Linked DNA regions of Saccharomyces cerevisiae S288C. Changing the gene in region 3 together with the main gene of any one other region gives a genetic interaction. Each region holds a gene or a part of one and is shown on either strand. Other genes may lie near its edges.

Region 1 (5,066 bases), on a different chromosome or scaffold from region 3:
TAACACCCTATTCATTAAATTGTCTATTACTTGTGCCATTTACCCATAACATTCATGATCATCCACATTTTAATTTTCTAAAATTGATCACAGAACCTCCATTATCATATCAATACTCTCAACTTCATGCTTTATAACGTTTTCATACAAATTAACCACTATAAGGTATCATAGCTATTTGCATTCTCATCACCTTTCAGTGAATTCCAATTTAATAGCAGAATATACTCGCGCAGCTGCTATGGTGCGTTTTTAATCTCTCCCCACCTTGGTATTCTATAATTATGCATACATGGTCTTGTGGTATCTTTGATATCGAATAGTTTATGCTTGCAATTTCAGCCTAATAATGGCGACATAAGACGTGTCCTCATGTCGCTATTCAAACGCAACTACAAGATCTTCTTACTCCCTATACTCATTCCCGGTGCCACTATATAACACCACTATGCTATACTATAATAGCAATACACATTAACGCAGATGCTATAATATCTTTACTTCATCTCACCAACTCAACTGATAATCATACAGACAGTACTATACAATACAGTCATTTACTAAAACGAATGCCGCTCCATGATATCCCAAACTTATACTGGCACCATTTTGAAACATTATATGTCACCTCTTCATCCTAATGACTTCAACTTCATGCATTATAAAATGGCAGCTACACGTACTTATGCGGGTACTACGACATAAGCTTATCTTGTCCTATTTCGTTACGTTAATTTTAATTAGACACTAGATGCACGAATTCCATTTTTATGCGAATGATCTATGAAGCCATTGTTGTACCATCACCATGTGCTATTCCATCGGGCTTACAATACTTGGGTTTAAAGCATTACTAATCTTGCAGGAAAATCTCAAAAATGACATACAATACGCAATAATAATTTTTCAGCGAGTTTCTAATTCAAAGACATTGTATTTAGAAGTGATGTACGTAACACAGTTTGCCACTTGAGTTCATTAGACTTTCAAAAATGCAATAGTAAGATTACGTCCCCTTCTTACTGAACTCCAAAACTGTGCGGAGTTTTTGAATGATGCGGGATGGCGTGAACAAACCCATTTTTTCATCCTAACCATCACTAAGATCAATCAGTTGTCCTTCAAAAAAAATTGTCAATTTTATCTGTTTTTAGGGTGAACTTGGATTAATATAGAGTTATAAGTGGTATTATTCATTGGTGCCCAAGTAATTTTTTGGTGAGTCAACAATTAATTTCTATTGTTCCATATATAATATGGTTTAAGGATCCTCGCGACTATTGCCAAAATCAATAAAATTGGAACTTCTAGCAACGGCCCAAATGTTGCAGCTATTGCTTGCTTGCTATTGTTACCATATAAGGAAATAGCAATTGCCAGGGATAGTTCAAAATTATTTGAAGCCATAGTGAAACATTGCGTCATCGTAATAGAAAAGCTAGCTTCACAAGACTTTCTTCCCCAGACCCTCTTTAAAAGTAGTTCTTGGTCACAGCTACATTCTCTTTGTGTATCACTCCTAGATATTGATAAGTACCTCATTAATGCGAAGGTCAAAAACCATGCAATAAAGAAGTAAAGCACCAATGGGACAAAGCACAATATTGCAGAACCAATTTCGTGGATAAATTGATAACCTCTACTAATAAAAATAACAAATAAAGTGTAATGAAATCCGATCATTGCCCATGGAGAAATAAATCTCAAAATGTATTTTTCATAATTACTTTTACCAGCTATGGTAAGACTTCCCAAACGTATGATAATGCCAATTCCCAGTGGTATGCCGAGAAAAACTCCGACAGACTTTGCAACCTCTTCGAATAATACCCTATTTGAAGTATTCAGGTGGTCATGAGAAATAACATAACAGTAAAATATCTGCAATGGTGCATATAATACCATCTGTAAAAGCGAGTTTGTAATAACAAGCACGACGCAGAGATCATTGTCTCCTCCAGCAATCTGATTCCAAATTAGCACCATGGCAATGCATCTAGCTACTCCGATCATAATAATGCCTTGACGGTATTCCTTATAATCGAATAGCGCCATCCACGCCAATGCTGTCATCAACAAAGGACCGATGACCCAATTCAAAAATAACGAGAGGGCTAGTTGCTTCCTTATATAGCTCCTGTAGAAGTACTTGTGAATAGACTCCCAGGAAACTTTGCAGATCGGGGGAATCATCATTACAATCATACCAACAGTCAAAGGAATGGACACTCCCATTAGATTGGGATGACCTTCAGCGTCAAAAGTGTGACGGGAAGAAGGCACATAGACAGAAATTATTACTGCAATGATTATGGAGAGAATTATAGTAAATGGCAACATCAAGTCAAGCCATGACAATGACTTGATCGTAGTCAGTATATCGGTGCGATTCACCATATTAACCTTAGAAGGTACCGAATTTTCACTTTTTTGATCTTCTGACATTATTCTACTAACCTGATGATTTGTTGGTTGGGTTCTCTTGAATTACAACGAGAGCATTCATTTATATTCTTTTCCGTTTACATTATAATTATGTAAGGAGCGTTGCCGCTAAAGTTGATTATTAATCAAACAAAAAGATAATTAAGAGCATTCAAAATTTGATTTTAAATCAACACTTTTGAAAAGTCGGTATAAAAACTAATGTATAACAAACTAATATTGAGGAAAACTTGACAATCCAGCAAGCGTAATGGTAAGTTTCATAACGTCTAGGCAACTCAAGGGCCTAATTGAAAATCAGAGGAAGGATTTTCAAGTTGTTGATCTTCGAAGAGAAGATTTTGCACGTGATCATATTACAAACGCTTGGCATGTTCCAGTAACAGCACAGATTACAGAGAAGCAACTGAATCAATTAATTAAAGGTTTATCCGATACTTTCTCAAGTTCTCAATTCGTCAAAGTGATATTTCATTGTACTGGGTCCAAGAATAGGGGACCAAAAGTAGCTGCTAAATTCGAAACCTACTTACAAGAAGAAGATATTACAAGTAAGTTTGAGAGTTGCATCCTCGTTGGAGGTTTTTACGCTTGGGAGACCCATTGTAGAGAGAGTAACCTTAAATTGATTGTTAGTGGTTGAGCTCCTCAAGCTTTATTGTTCCAGCATTAATGTAAAAGTCTTTTCAATATTTTATGTACGGCAAAACTTTTTAATTCCATTTTTTTTTTTTTTTTCGTTTCTTTTCTTATTAAATTAAATATAATTATAATTATAATATTCCTATCTTTACAAAATCATATTAGTATATAATTCTAGCATGCGGATGGTCTTTAAGGAGCGGCCGTTGAAAAAACATGTCAAAACGGAAGATAAGTGACCAAGATAATGGCAAAACCGCGTGGAAGAAAAGGCGGCAGGAAGCCTTCACTTACTCCACCTAAAAATAAGAGAGCTGCGCAACTTAGAGCATCCCAAAACGCATTTAGAAAACGAAAGTTGGAAAGATTAGAAGAACTAGAGAAGAAAGAAGCTCAGCTAACGGTAACAAATGATCAAATTCACATATTAAAGAAGGAAAATGAACTTCTCCATTTTATGTTGAGGAGTCTTTTGACTGAGAGGAACATGCCTTCTGATGAACGGAACATTAGTAAGGCCTGTTGTGAAGAAAAACCGCCCACATGTAACACTCTCGATGGTAGTGTGGTTCTTTCCTCCACATATAATTCCCTTGAAATACAACAATGCTACGTATTTTTCAAGCAACTGCTCTCAGTGTGTGTTGGAAAGAATTGTACAGTGCCGTCACCGTTGAATTCCTTTGATCGGTCCTTCTATCCCATAGGCTGTACGAATCTCTCAAATGACATACCAGGCTATTCTTTTCTAAATGATGCAATGAGTGAGATTCATACGTTTGGTGACTTTAATGGGGAACTTGATAGTACCTTTTTGGAGTTTAGTGGGACTGAAATAAAGGAGCCAAATAATTTCATTACTGAAAACACTAATGCAATAGAAACAGCGGCAGCGAGCATGGTGATTAGGCAGGGTTTCCATCCAAGACAGTATTATACAGTGGATGCTTTTGGAGGGGACGTCCTATTAAGTGCGATGGATATTTGGAGTTTTATGAAAGTGCATCCAAAGGTTAACACATTTGACCTTGAAATTTTGGGAACAGAACTTAAGAAAAGTGCTACGTGTTCTAATTTTGATATTTTAATTAGCCTCAAGCATTTCATTAAGGTCTTTTCGTCAAAATTATAATATTCTTCCTGTAAGCACAGCGCAACATTGTCTTTCTTATTGTTAATATATAAGTTAAAAGCCGAATTTTTCATTTATTTATATAGATGGCGTGAAGATTATTACGGTCAGATACCTTCGCCTATTTATGTACTTGCATGCGTTTAGATTTTATTGGAAAAAGTATTAATTTATCGTCTATCGACTAGTATTCACGTTACTAGTATATTCTGTATAGTTAATGATAGAGCCTTTATTTAAAATGGAAGTCCAATAACTATTTCAAAATCAAATTATATGTCAAAGATGTTCAACAAATTGGGAAGGCAAGAGGCGAGCACTAGGCCTGATACCCTTCTTAATGCCTTGACATACACGTGTCTATTTCTTTTTTCTTGTCGAGGTATTGAGGTATTGACCAATGCTGAATGCTTGATAATGTAATTAGGGATCGCGTACGACAAGTTTCAGCAATTGTTAGGGTGTTATTTTCATTGTTCCCGATTATGAGCACAATATGGCGGTCTTGTACTAGGATAACTTGGGCGTATGTTTCACTATACTAGAACCATGATTTTATCAGTGTAGAACAAATGCTGAAACTTTGATTCAAATACAAACATTTACTAAAACACTGTAATACGATCGATGTGGAGTATTCGATGAATATTTTTCATGTTTACGTTTATATAATTCCTTTCCAAACGCTTTTCGTCGATTAACTTGGAATTCTTCATAACATTGATTGGAACCCTTAGTTATCCATTCACCATGGAAAAGGTTTGAGAAAACTTTTTATAACTTTGTTGTAAACATATTATAGTAAAGTAGAAGAGCCTCTGCTATGCATGGTTAAGTAAAATTGCAA
Region 2 (4,881 bases), on a different chromosome or scaffold from region 3:
GTTATACGCGCACATGTATATAAGGAGAACTTTTGGCAGTTCGATACACTGACTTCACGGAGAACAAATAATACTAATCTGAAAAATAATCAAAGAATTTTTTTTATAATTTTATCGTTAGATATCTCTTATCTACACACCCCTCAATTGAATAGCGTCTACCAAAGCTCTTGAGAGACCATTTACGTCTTGGGGCTTGAAATCATCACTTAATTTATAGATCTAATAGGTAAAAACAAAATAAAAGGAAAACAAAGGTGAAGTTAGTACAATGTGTTTCTGGTGAGGCTGTTGAAGTTTTTACCTCGAATTTATTATTAAAACATACTTTTCTTATGAGCGCTTCGTCATAAAATCTCGATAAATTGTCATCATTAAACTCGATCTCTTGTCCTTTTACTATAGAAGTCATAATCGTCCTCAATTGCTCTTTGTCTACATCGTCAGTATTAGTATGGAACTTAAGGCATATTAACTGTGACGAATCGTCTTTGATTCCGAATTTGAGGAAAGCATCACTAATATTGGAAGTGGGTGAAAGACATAGTACGCACTCGGAATTCAAATTTCTTGTTCTCATCTTGTTATATTTCACTTCTATTAAGGTCTTGTAAATTGCAGAATACATCTGCTCCCCCGAACAGACTAACCGGGGGTCAATAAAGGCAAAGGATGTCGACAATTCACTCATTTTAGAGCGTATTTCTTTAGCATTTTTAACCTGTTCAAACAATGCTAGTGAAACCTTGATATCAGGAAATTGCGGTATGATGGATACTACCATGATGATTGTATAATGGGCAGCGACGACGTATATTTGGTTATATCGACAAATTTGTTGACCGATAAAAGATTGTTGATGTATATTTTGGTTTGCAATTGAAATTTTCGCGCAAAAGATTAAACATGAAATATTGAAATCAATGGTATTAATGATCAACGAATATTACAGATCATCAATTAAAGAAACAAGCATTGTCAGAATCTAAGCTGGTTATTTTTTGGGAAGGACAAATTATGGACGAAAACAAAATAATCGACCAGTTGTTCAGTAAGGAATACACACCGCAAGATGACTCCGAGCAAGCCAAAAATGGAGATGTGTCGTTATATGGGTTATTAGATGAAGTAGCGAACGGTAGGCGGTTGATGAACTGTTTGTTTCATTCACCTATGCAAATGGGGAATAAATTGAGTACCGACAAACTTGATGGGAAATGTCGGCAAATACAAAGAGATTGGATTGATGAGGAAAAAACCATAACTATGAATTCTGGCGCTTTACAGCTGGATGGGCCAGTTCTATTTTCCTGGAGTCATAATGTAGCACCTACTTCTCATCAAGAAACTATAAATACAACCTTCAAGCAGGGCTCTCCGAGCAGAGGAAGCAACAAGCCCAAAATTACTACTACCAGTCAGTTATTTGATAGAGCTTCTGCTGAGATTGATAAGTGTATAAAGCCCAATAGCAAAAGTTGGATGGTGGAAGAAAGATTTGAGAGAAATGAGGCACATACAGCTGATGGCAAGAAACCTTCTACGTGGGCTAATTCCGATTTCAAAGTGGACCCGCTACAGAAATTCGTTGTTAAGGAATTGCCCAAAGAAAAGAAGAAATCAGACGGTGATAAGACAAAGAAAAATAAGTCGAAAAGGAAGAGTTTTTTTGGATTTTGGGGCCATTCTGGTTCTAAATCAGGTTCAAAAAAGAAATCCGAAAAGCCTATAGAGGCCAAAAATGAAATTCAGGATGAGGTAAGCCAAAAATCTGGCCTATCACCTGACGATGATACAACTTTCAGTGATAAAAATACCATCCAATCAAAGCAAGAGAGTATGAGTGATCAACAAGCTGAACCCAAAGTACACGAGCCCGCAGTTACTAACACTGGATGCAGTGAACATGATGATGGTGATGGATTTGAACAGGTACCTGCACAATCTAGTTATCATCCATCCAGCGAGCCCAGCATTGCCAGCACTCCTTCATTAACTCTAGATTCATTCATCCCATTACAACCAAAGAAGAAAATATAATAGATGCTTGTAGGCTTCAACATCTATTAGAGTCATCGGCGACGAGACGCCAAAAAATAAAGCGCAAAATAATCACACCCATTTTTTTTGTCGAGAATGAGAAGGAGATGGCTTAGAACTGGAAATATAAGGGATAGTGGCATCACGAGAAGCTGTTGTTCTGTTTTTTTAAAGTGTCAATTGGCCTGATTATACTCATAACTGCATTTTCATCACTTCCACGATCACTTGAAGTTGTTACAGCGAGTGTTTATACCTTCAATTCTCGTGTCACATTTTGCTATGAATAGGACTGTCTTTTTGGCATTTGTATTTGGATGGTATTTCTGTTCAATAGCTCTCTCCATATACAATAGATGGATGTTCGATCCGAAGGACGGATTGGGTATTGGGTATCCCGTGTTGGTGACAACATTCCATCAGGCTACTTTATGGTTACTATCCGGCATATACATTAAGCTCAGGCATAAGCCAGTGAAAAACGTTTTAAGAAAGAATAATGGTTTTAACTGGAGTTTTTTTCTAAAATTTTTACTCCCTACGGCAGTCGCTTCTGCAGGTGATATCGGGCTCAGTAACGTTTCCTTCCAGTATGTTCCCTTGACAATTTATACAATTATCAAATCTTCGAGCATAGCTTTTGTCCTTTTATTCGGCTGTATCTTCAAGCTAGAAAAGTTTCATTGGAAGTTGGCACTTTCAGTAATAATTATGTTTGTTGGTGTAGCATTAATGGTTTTCAAACCAAGCGATTCCACCAGTACCAAAAACGACCAAGCCTTGGTCATTTTTGGCAGCTTTCTTGTCCTAGCAAGTAGCTGTCTTTCTGGGTTAAGGTGGGTTTATACGCAGTTGATGCTTAGGAACAACCCAATTCAAACTAACACCGCTGCAGCAGTAGAGGAATCTGATGGTGCCCTTTTCACGGAAAATGAAGATAATGTCGATAATGAACCTGTTGTTAACCTCGCCAATAACAAAATGCTGGAGAATTTTGGAGAATCCAAGCCTCACCCAATTCATACAATCCACCAGTTAGCTCCTATAATGGGCATTACTCTGTTGCTTACCTCGCTACTTGTGGAAAAACCATTTCCTGGTATATTCAGCTCTAGCATATTTAGGCTTGATACGAGCAATGGCGGTGTCGGCACGGAAACTACCGTCCTATCCATTGTGAGGGGTATTGTTTTGTTAATTTTACCTGGTTTTGCAGTCTTTTTGTTGACAATTTGTGAGTTTAGTATTTTGGAGCAAACGCCCGTGCTGACCGTATCTATTGTGGGTATAGTGAAGGAACTTTTGACGGTAATATTTGGTATAATTATTCTTTCTGAAAGATTAAGTGGTTTTTACAATTGGTTAGGAATGCTTATTATTATGGCAGATGTATGCTATTATAATTACTTCAGATATAAGCAAGATCTATTACAAAAATATCATTCAGTTTCGACACAAGATAATCGTAACGAGTTAAAGGGATTTCAAGACTTCGAACAGTTAGGAAGCAAGAAAATCGCACCATATTCTATTAGTGTCGACCTAACAAATCAAGAGTATGAGCTTGATATGATTGCTCAAAACGTTAGTCGTTCATCCCAGCAGGTCTGAGAGCGATATAGTAAGAGAGAGAAAGAATAAAGGCAAAAATTTAAAACATGTATACAGCATACTTAAAAGTCCTCTAACAGGACATAAGCAAAGCACATGGGAATAGACAATACATCCGCACATAATTAAAAATATTTTACTAGATAGATTTTATACGAAGGTTCTTCACACTTTTTCATATATACTTTATTGACAGTTAATAAAAGAACATTATCAAATTTATACCTTTGCGTTTTAGACACTAAATTATTGAATACAGGAAAGAAGAGGCACTTAGATAAATCTTTAGAAATTTACTTATTTCTTTCATTTAAATTGGCCAATGCTTTTGGATCCATTCAACTGCGGCCGTAAAAATATCGATGCGCTTGCATTGTGTTCAACCTCTGTCTCGCCGAATCTTTAGCTGAAGTAAGGAAGAATTGTTTGATAATTTTGGTTAGGTAAATAATTTCACGTATAATGAACCAGAAGTCCTCGAGAAAACTGGAAAGTTAACGAAACAGAATGAGCATCCTTACACAATTTTAACATTCATCTGATGATTGCTGATATTCCATTGTTGATAAAGGCTATAATATTAGGTATACAGAATATACTAGAAGTTCTCCTCGAGGATATAGGAATCCTCAAAATGGAATCTATATTTCTACATACTAATATTACGATTATTCCTCATTCCGTTTTATATGTTTATATTCATTGATCCTATTACATTATCAATCCTTGCGTTTCAGCTTCCACTAATTTAGATGACTATTTCTCATCATTTGCGTCATCTTCTAACACCGTATATGATAATATACTAGTAATGTAAATACTAGTTAGTAGATGATAGTTGATTTCTATTCCAACATACCACCCATAATGTAATAGATCTAATGAATCCATTTGTTAGTTAATAGTTTAAATGTTTTTATCGGAAGAGGTTTTGTCATCACATCAGCAATGTTCTTCTTGGTCTCGATGTAGTATACGTATAAATTATTACCTGATACTTCATCTCTAAGTCTCATTGCCTTTGTGCCAAAAAATCTGTTTCTAAATTTCTCTTCATTTGTAGACTTAATTATACTGATCGTTGATCTACTATCAGTAAGTAAGCCTTTAATAATTGGTTTCTTGTTAAGTTCTTGTATCAGGTAACTTAGATTATTTAATAATGGGACAGATTCACTTATCGCGTGTATTTCTGCTTCCGTAGTTGAAGTACATGTTAATGAAGCCTTG
Region 3 (4,771 bases):
TGGATTGTGTGCAATCACTTACTTCACAGTGTCTATGTAAGAGATGTGAGAGTGTAGCTCGGAAGGTGGAGACATCTCCTAGATCTTGTCTGGCTTCGTTGGGGTAGCCATGAGAAGTTTTCCATTCCCCCGGGTCATGCATGCTGCCCGAGTCAAATAGCGTTTAACTTTGACTCGTACGCCATAATAGGTTATGTTTTATCTTTGGTCAGGGACCCCAGTATTGAGAAAGTAACCTAGGGATGCTACGCCCCAGCTTTACTACGTGGATGATACAGTAAGCACATACATATTGACGGCATCTAATCGTTCTAAACGGAAAAATAGGCGCTGATTTGATCCACTTCGGTTAGGTAACCGCTGATGCCAACGATCTAGGGCCCTTCCATTTTAGGAAAAAGGGTATATACTCTGATGCCCTGTCTGGCCGAACATTCGTATATGTGGATGTATCGTGATCCGTTCGTATTCAATAAAAGTGTAACGATCTCATCTCAAGTCAAAAGTGAGAAGGGAATAACTAAAAAAGAAAAACTGATATTTTGACGTGACGTGGTTTATTAGCAAGTATGTTTCAACCATTCTCAGCGTAAACCCTATCACAATAACGTCTCTATGAAAAGTTTAACATTTTGTCTATCTCGGTTCAATCAGTTGAATAGCGAACCTTATAGCAAATAGCATTTTCAATAAAAATGTGACATACAGACTTCCACTTTTCTTGCTTTTCTCATGCTCTGTGTGATGCTACTGTTACCGCGGCACCACATTTTGGCATACGTCGGGACATTGGCGGCTGAATAGATTATACCCGTCGCCCTTTTTTCATCTCTCCTTTTCTTTTTGTCGTAAGCAAATTACAGAATTGAATATTTGAATAACCCTAAAAAAAATGCCACTCCCCTAAAAACAAACCAGATTAAGTTGCAAGAAATAGACTGATTGGAACATACGGGTCCTATTCAGTGCTCAATAAAAATTAAAATAATGTGATCAAACAACCCGAGACTATTCTTGAATTAGCATTAGCCACTATAAATTTTAACATTTTTCAGAGTCTTTCGTGCGGAGACCGTAAATATTAGCATTGACCTTGTCAATGAAGTAATTGTCTTTGATTTTAACCGTGTTAAAGATTTCGCAAAAGAGAAAGCTTGCTGGCTTGGAGCAGTAACTTTTTTTGATTTTTTTTTACAAGCACACATGCTTTTGCCTTTAGAATATTACGGCTCCTCATGTGGATAGTAAAAACTTGACCGTTGCATCTGTTCTCCTTCGAACAAAGAATAAATCGTCTGAAAAATCACATAGAAAAATAATAGAAAAATAAAAAACATAGTAACATATTTTAAAAGAGACCTTTTATTGAAGAAAATTTGGCGATAAAAATGATTATAACATTGAAATGACGAAGAAAAGGACAGTGCCCGAATTCTCGATTCCAATAAAAGGCGAAAAATTACAATCGCCAGCATGTTTGGTACGGGGCGACTCGTGGCATTTTAAAGTACGCTGGCATGTTTAAAGGTATTAGTGTTCTTGGCGTGGAAAGTGCAGGTGTCTCACTTTTTAGAACGAACAAATTCAAACAATATACAACAATCCGCCGAAAACATTCCAGAAATTAAGATTGTTAAGCACTTTTGCTAAGAAAAAAAAAGGGCTCTCCCCTGTGAATTAACTCAAAGGTAGCGTGTTCTGCCTATGCAAGGTGACCGTTTTTGCAGATATTGTAGTGAGATGCTCTACAAAAGGGGTTTCCTAATCTAATCTTTTACCATATCAAAAATGCCCTAATATTATTATTAAAGAGCTATCAAAGCCTGATTCCTTAGGTATATGACTAGTTCCCGAATTAATGGCATTGATTCATTACTTATTTTATTAGGGGGATGATAAAAATAATGATATCTTTTTCTGCAGCGTCATTTAAGTACTGATTGAGACTGACAGTTGTGATAGAGATATTAAGTAGTAGAAACGGTCCATGAATTGTTCTTTGTTAATATTCTTGCTGAGGGAGGCTTTTCTTTTGGGCTGCTATGCTTTCATTCTACTTAAGCAACGAGATAGGAAGCTTCAAAAGGTGAATGGTGAAATGCTGAAGAAGATTTCGTCATTCCAATCCTCGAGAGTGCGACGTAAGTAGTGACTCTAATGAATTTTCTATGCCTCATAAAGCTTGAGGTATATTTATCCATACGCAAATAATACACGATCTAGGATTATTGTAGTATGTTATTGTTTGACAATATCCTTGGACAAGTTCTAATCACTTATATTTCCCAAACATGATTCGTGTATTTTGGCGTTAGAAAACGACGGCAAGTAAGCTCCCAACATTTACTTGACGAGTTTTTTGTCACTATCATCACGCCCTAGAGCCAAGTTATATTTTTATCGTAAATTCTGTAAATTAACAGTCATTCTAAGCAGGTTGTTTTAATATTTACAGGTAACTTGGCTGACTTCTTTTAAATGTGGCTTCTATGACAAAAAAACTGAAAAAAATGACTAATTAGTAAATTCAGCCTCTTATCATAAAATCAGGGTCTATAGGACGGTACGTGAGAAAAAGATAAGCTTTGGAATATAAAGAGTTACATTTTCATTCTGCAAAAATTCAAATAAAGGAGTATTGAAAAAAAACTTAAAAAGTACAAATAATTAATATAGTTCGAGATATTTAGTTTTCATTGAGTTGGAAAAATGATTGTTCCCACTTATGGAGACGTTTTGGATGCCAGCAACAGAATTAAAGAATATGTAAATAAAACACCGGTTCTCACTTCACGAATGCTTAATGATCGACTTGGAGCACAAATATACTTTAAAGGTGAGAATTTCCAACGAGTGGGAGCGTTCAAGTTTCGTGGAGCAATGAATGCTGTTTCAAAATTAAGTGATGAAAAAAGAAGTAAGGGAGTAATTGCCTTCTCATCAGGAAACCATGCACAGGCTATTGCTCTTAGTGCAAAACTATTAAATGTACCTGCAACAATTGTTATGCCCGAGGATGCGCCCGCCCTTAAAGTTGCTGCTACAGCCGGTTACGGAGCACATATCATAAGGTATAACAGGTATACTGAAGATCGCGAGCAGATTGGGCGTCAACTAGCAGCCGAACATGGTTTTGCATTGATTCCGCCCTACGATCATCCTGATGTTATTGCAGGGCAAGGTACGTCGGCAAAAGAGCTATTAGAAGAGGTTGGACAACTTGATGCATTATTTGTTCCTTTGGGCGGTGGTGGGCTCCTTTCAGGATCTGCACTTGCCGCTAGAAGCCTTTCTCCAGGCTGCAAAATTTTTGGGGTTGAACCTGAAGCTGGTAACGATGGACAACAATCCTTCAGATCGGGTTCCATTGTTCATATCAATACGCCAAAAACTATCGCAGATGGCGCTCAAACACAACACCTCGGTGAGTACACATTTGCCATTATTCGCGAAAATGTCGATGATATTTTAACGGTTAGCGACCAAGAGCTAGTAAAATGCATGCACTTTCTTGCGGAACGCATGAAGGTGGTTGTTGAGCCCACAGCTTGTTTGGGATTTGCAGGTGCACTTCTAAAAAAGGAAGAGCTAGTTGGGAAGAAAGTAGGCATAATACTAAGTGGAGGTAATGTAGACATGAAGAGATATGCTACTTTAATCTCTGGGAAGGAAGATGGCCCAACGATTTAGTGTATACTTTTGAATTTTGAGTTCAGTTTTATAGTGAAGAATTGGAAAGCTTTAGTTGTCTACTTTCACACGGCATATATCATTTGACTTAACATTAATAACATGGTTGAGATTTTGAAGTGAGTTCAGCAAAAAAAGCCTCTAGCTGATTTATACTCTGATAACTCTACATATTTTTCTACTAGTATTATATTTCACTGAACTGACACCCTTATGTGGGAAAATTTTTTGGCAGAATGATAGTGTGTGAGAGGGAAGAATACTGCTTATGTCAAACTAATAATATAACTTCTGACTGTGACTATGAGCATTACTGGTATATTAGTTTCTTTTGCATATTTTGAACTAAAACAGAAGAGCGTTCCTAGGCTTACACCCAGTAAAGACATAGCTTCTAAGTTGAAAAAACATATCTCTACTTCAATTAAAGGTAACTGTCATAATGTCCTATTTTATACGCAGAAAAAATTCTCTTTTCCACACACAATATCGTCTGCTCTTATTACTAATCAATCGAGATCTTGCATGAAGATATTTATGGTCCACAGGAAAGGATAAGCCTCTATTTTAAGGAATTATTACCTAACCAAGACCAAAACTGTAGAAATCCTCCTAAATTTAGTTCTTCACTTTTTTTTGATAATCATAATATGTGTCAAGATATTCGCAGCAGCCACATATATGAATACCAAGTTATTCAACAATTGAGTTTTAAAGAGCAACCCTGAAGGATAAATTAGTGTTTTACATTATATCCGTAGGAAAAAAATATGGCGATATACGTGACAGATCCCACAAACAATAAAGCATCAAGCAAGGTCACCAGGTCAGTTCTACCGCAGAAATTAACGATGTATTACTTAGTGCTCTTTTGTAGCAATAAATTCGCGTGAAATACTCAACACATGTATTGATATAACTTTCAACATGTTCCCTTGATTAACAGTAGACGGGAAAAGAGTTACATGGTTATGTTCAAAATGGATAGTTATGACCAGTACCAACTAACACTCAATATTCTTTTATGATTTGGAAGATCAAACTGTTGCACAATCAATTGGATTATAGTTTCTCTATTTCA

Evidence for each region. A genetic interaction does not mean that the proteins touch.
Region 1: mutations in SRY1 (region 3) and ARR3 together harm fitness less than expected from each alone (positive genetic interaction), as found in Saccharomyces cerevisiae (one large-scale study listed by BioGRID).
Region 2: mutations in SRY1 (region 3) and YMD8 together harm fitness more than expected from each alone (negative genetic interaction), as found in Saccharomyces cerevisiae (one large-scale study listed by BioGRID).

What each region holds. Positions count from the first base shown.
Region 1 is NC_001148.4:937,301-942,366, reverse strand, and holds ARR3 (Arr3p), read right to left. Parts: upstream 2,446-5,066; coding exon 1,231-2,445; downstream 1-1,230. Other genes in the region: ARR2 (Arr2p), read left to right, coding at 2,696-3,088; ARR1 (Arr1p), read left to right, coding at 3,335-4,219.
Region 2 is NC_001145.3:201,545-206,425, reverse strand, and holds YMD8 (Ymd8p), read left to right. Parts: upstream 1-2,322; coding exon 2,323-3,651; downstream 3,652-4,881. Other genes in the region: CGI121 (Cgi121p), read right to left, coding at 133-222, 329-784; LFT1 (Lft1p), read left to right, coding at 1,018-2,040.
Region 3 is NC_001143.9:16,278-21,048, reverse strand, and holds SRY1 (threo-3-hydroxy-L-aspartate ammonia-lyase SRY1), read left to right. Parts: upstream 1-2,709; coding exon 2,710-3,690; downstream 3,691-4,771. UniProt on the Saccharomyces cerevisiae protein: Catalyzes the deamination of L-threo-3-hydroxyaspartate to oxaloacetate and ammonia. Shows a high specificity towards L-threo-3-hydroxyaspartate as other 3-hydroxyaminoacids, i.e.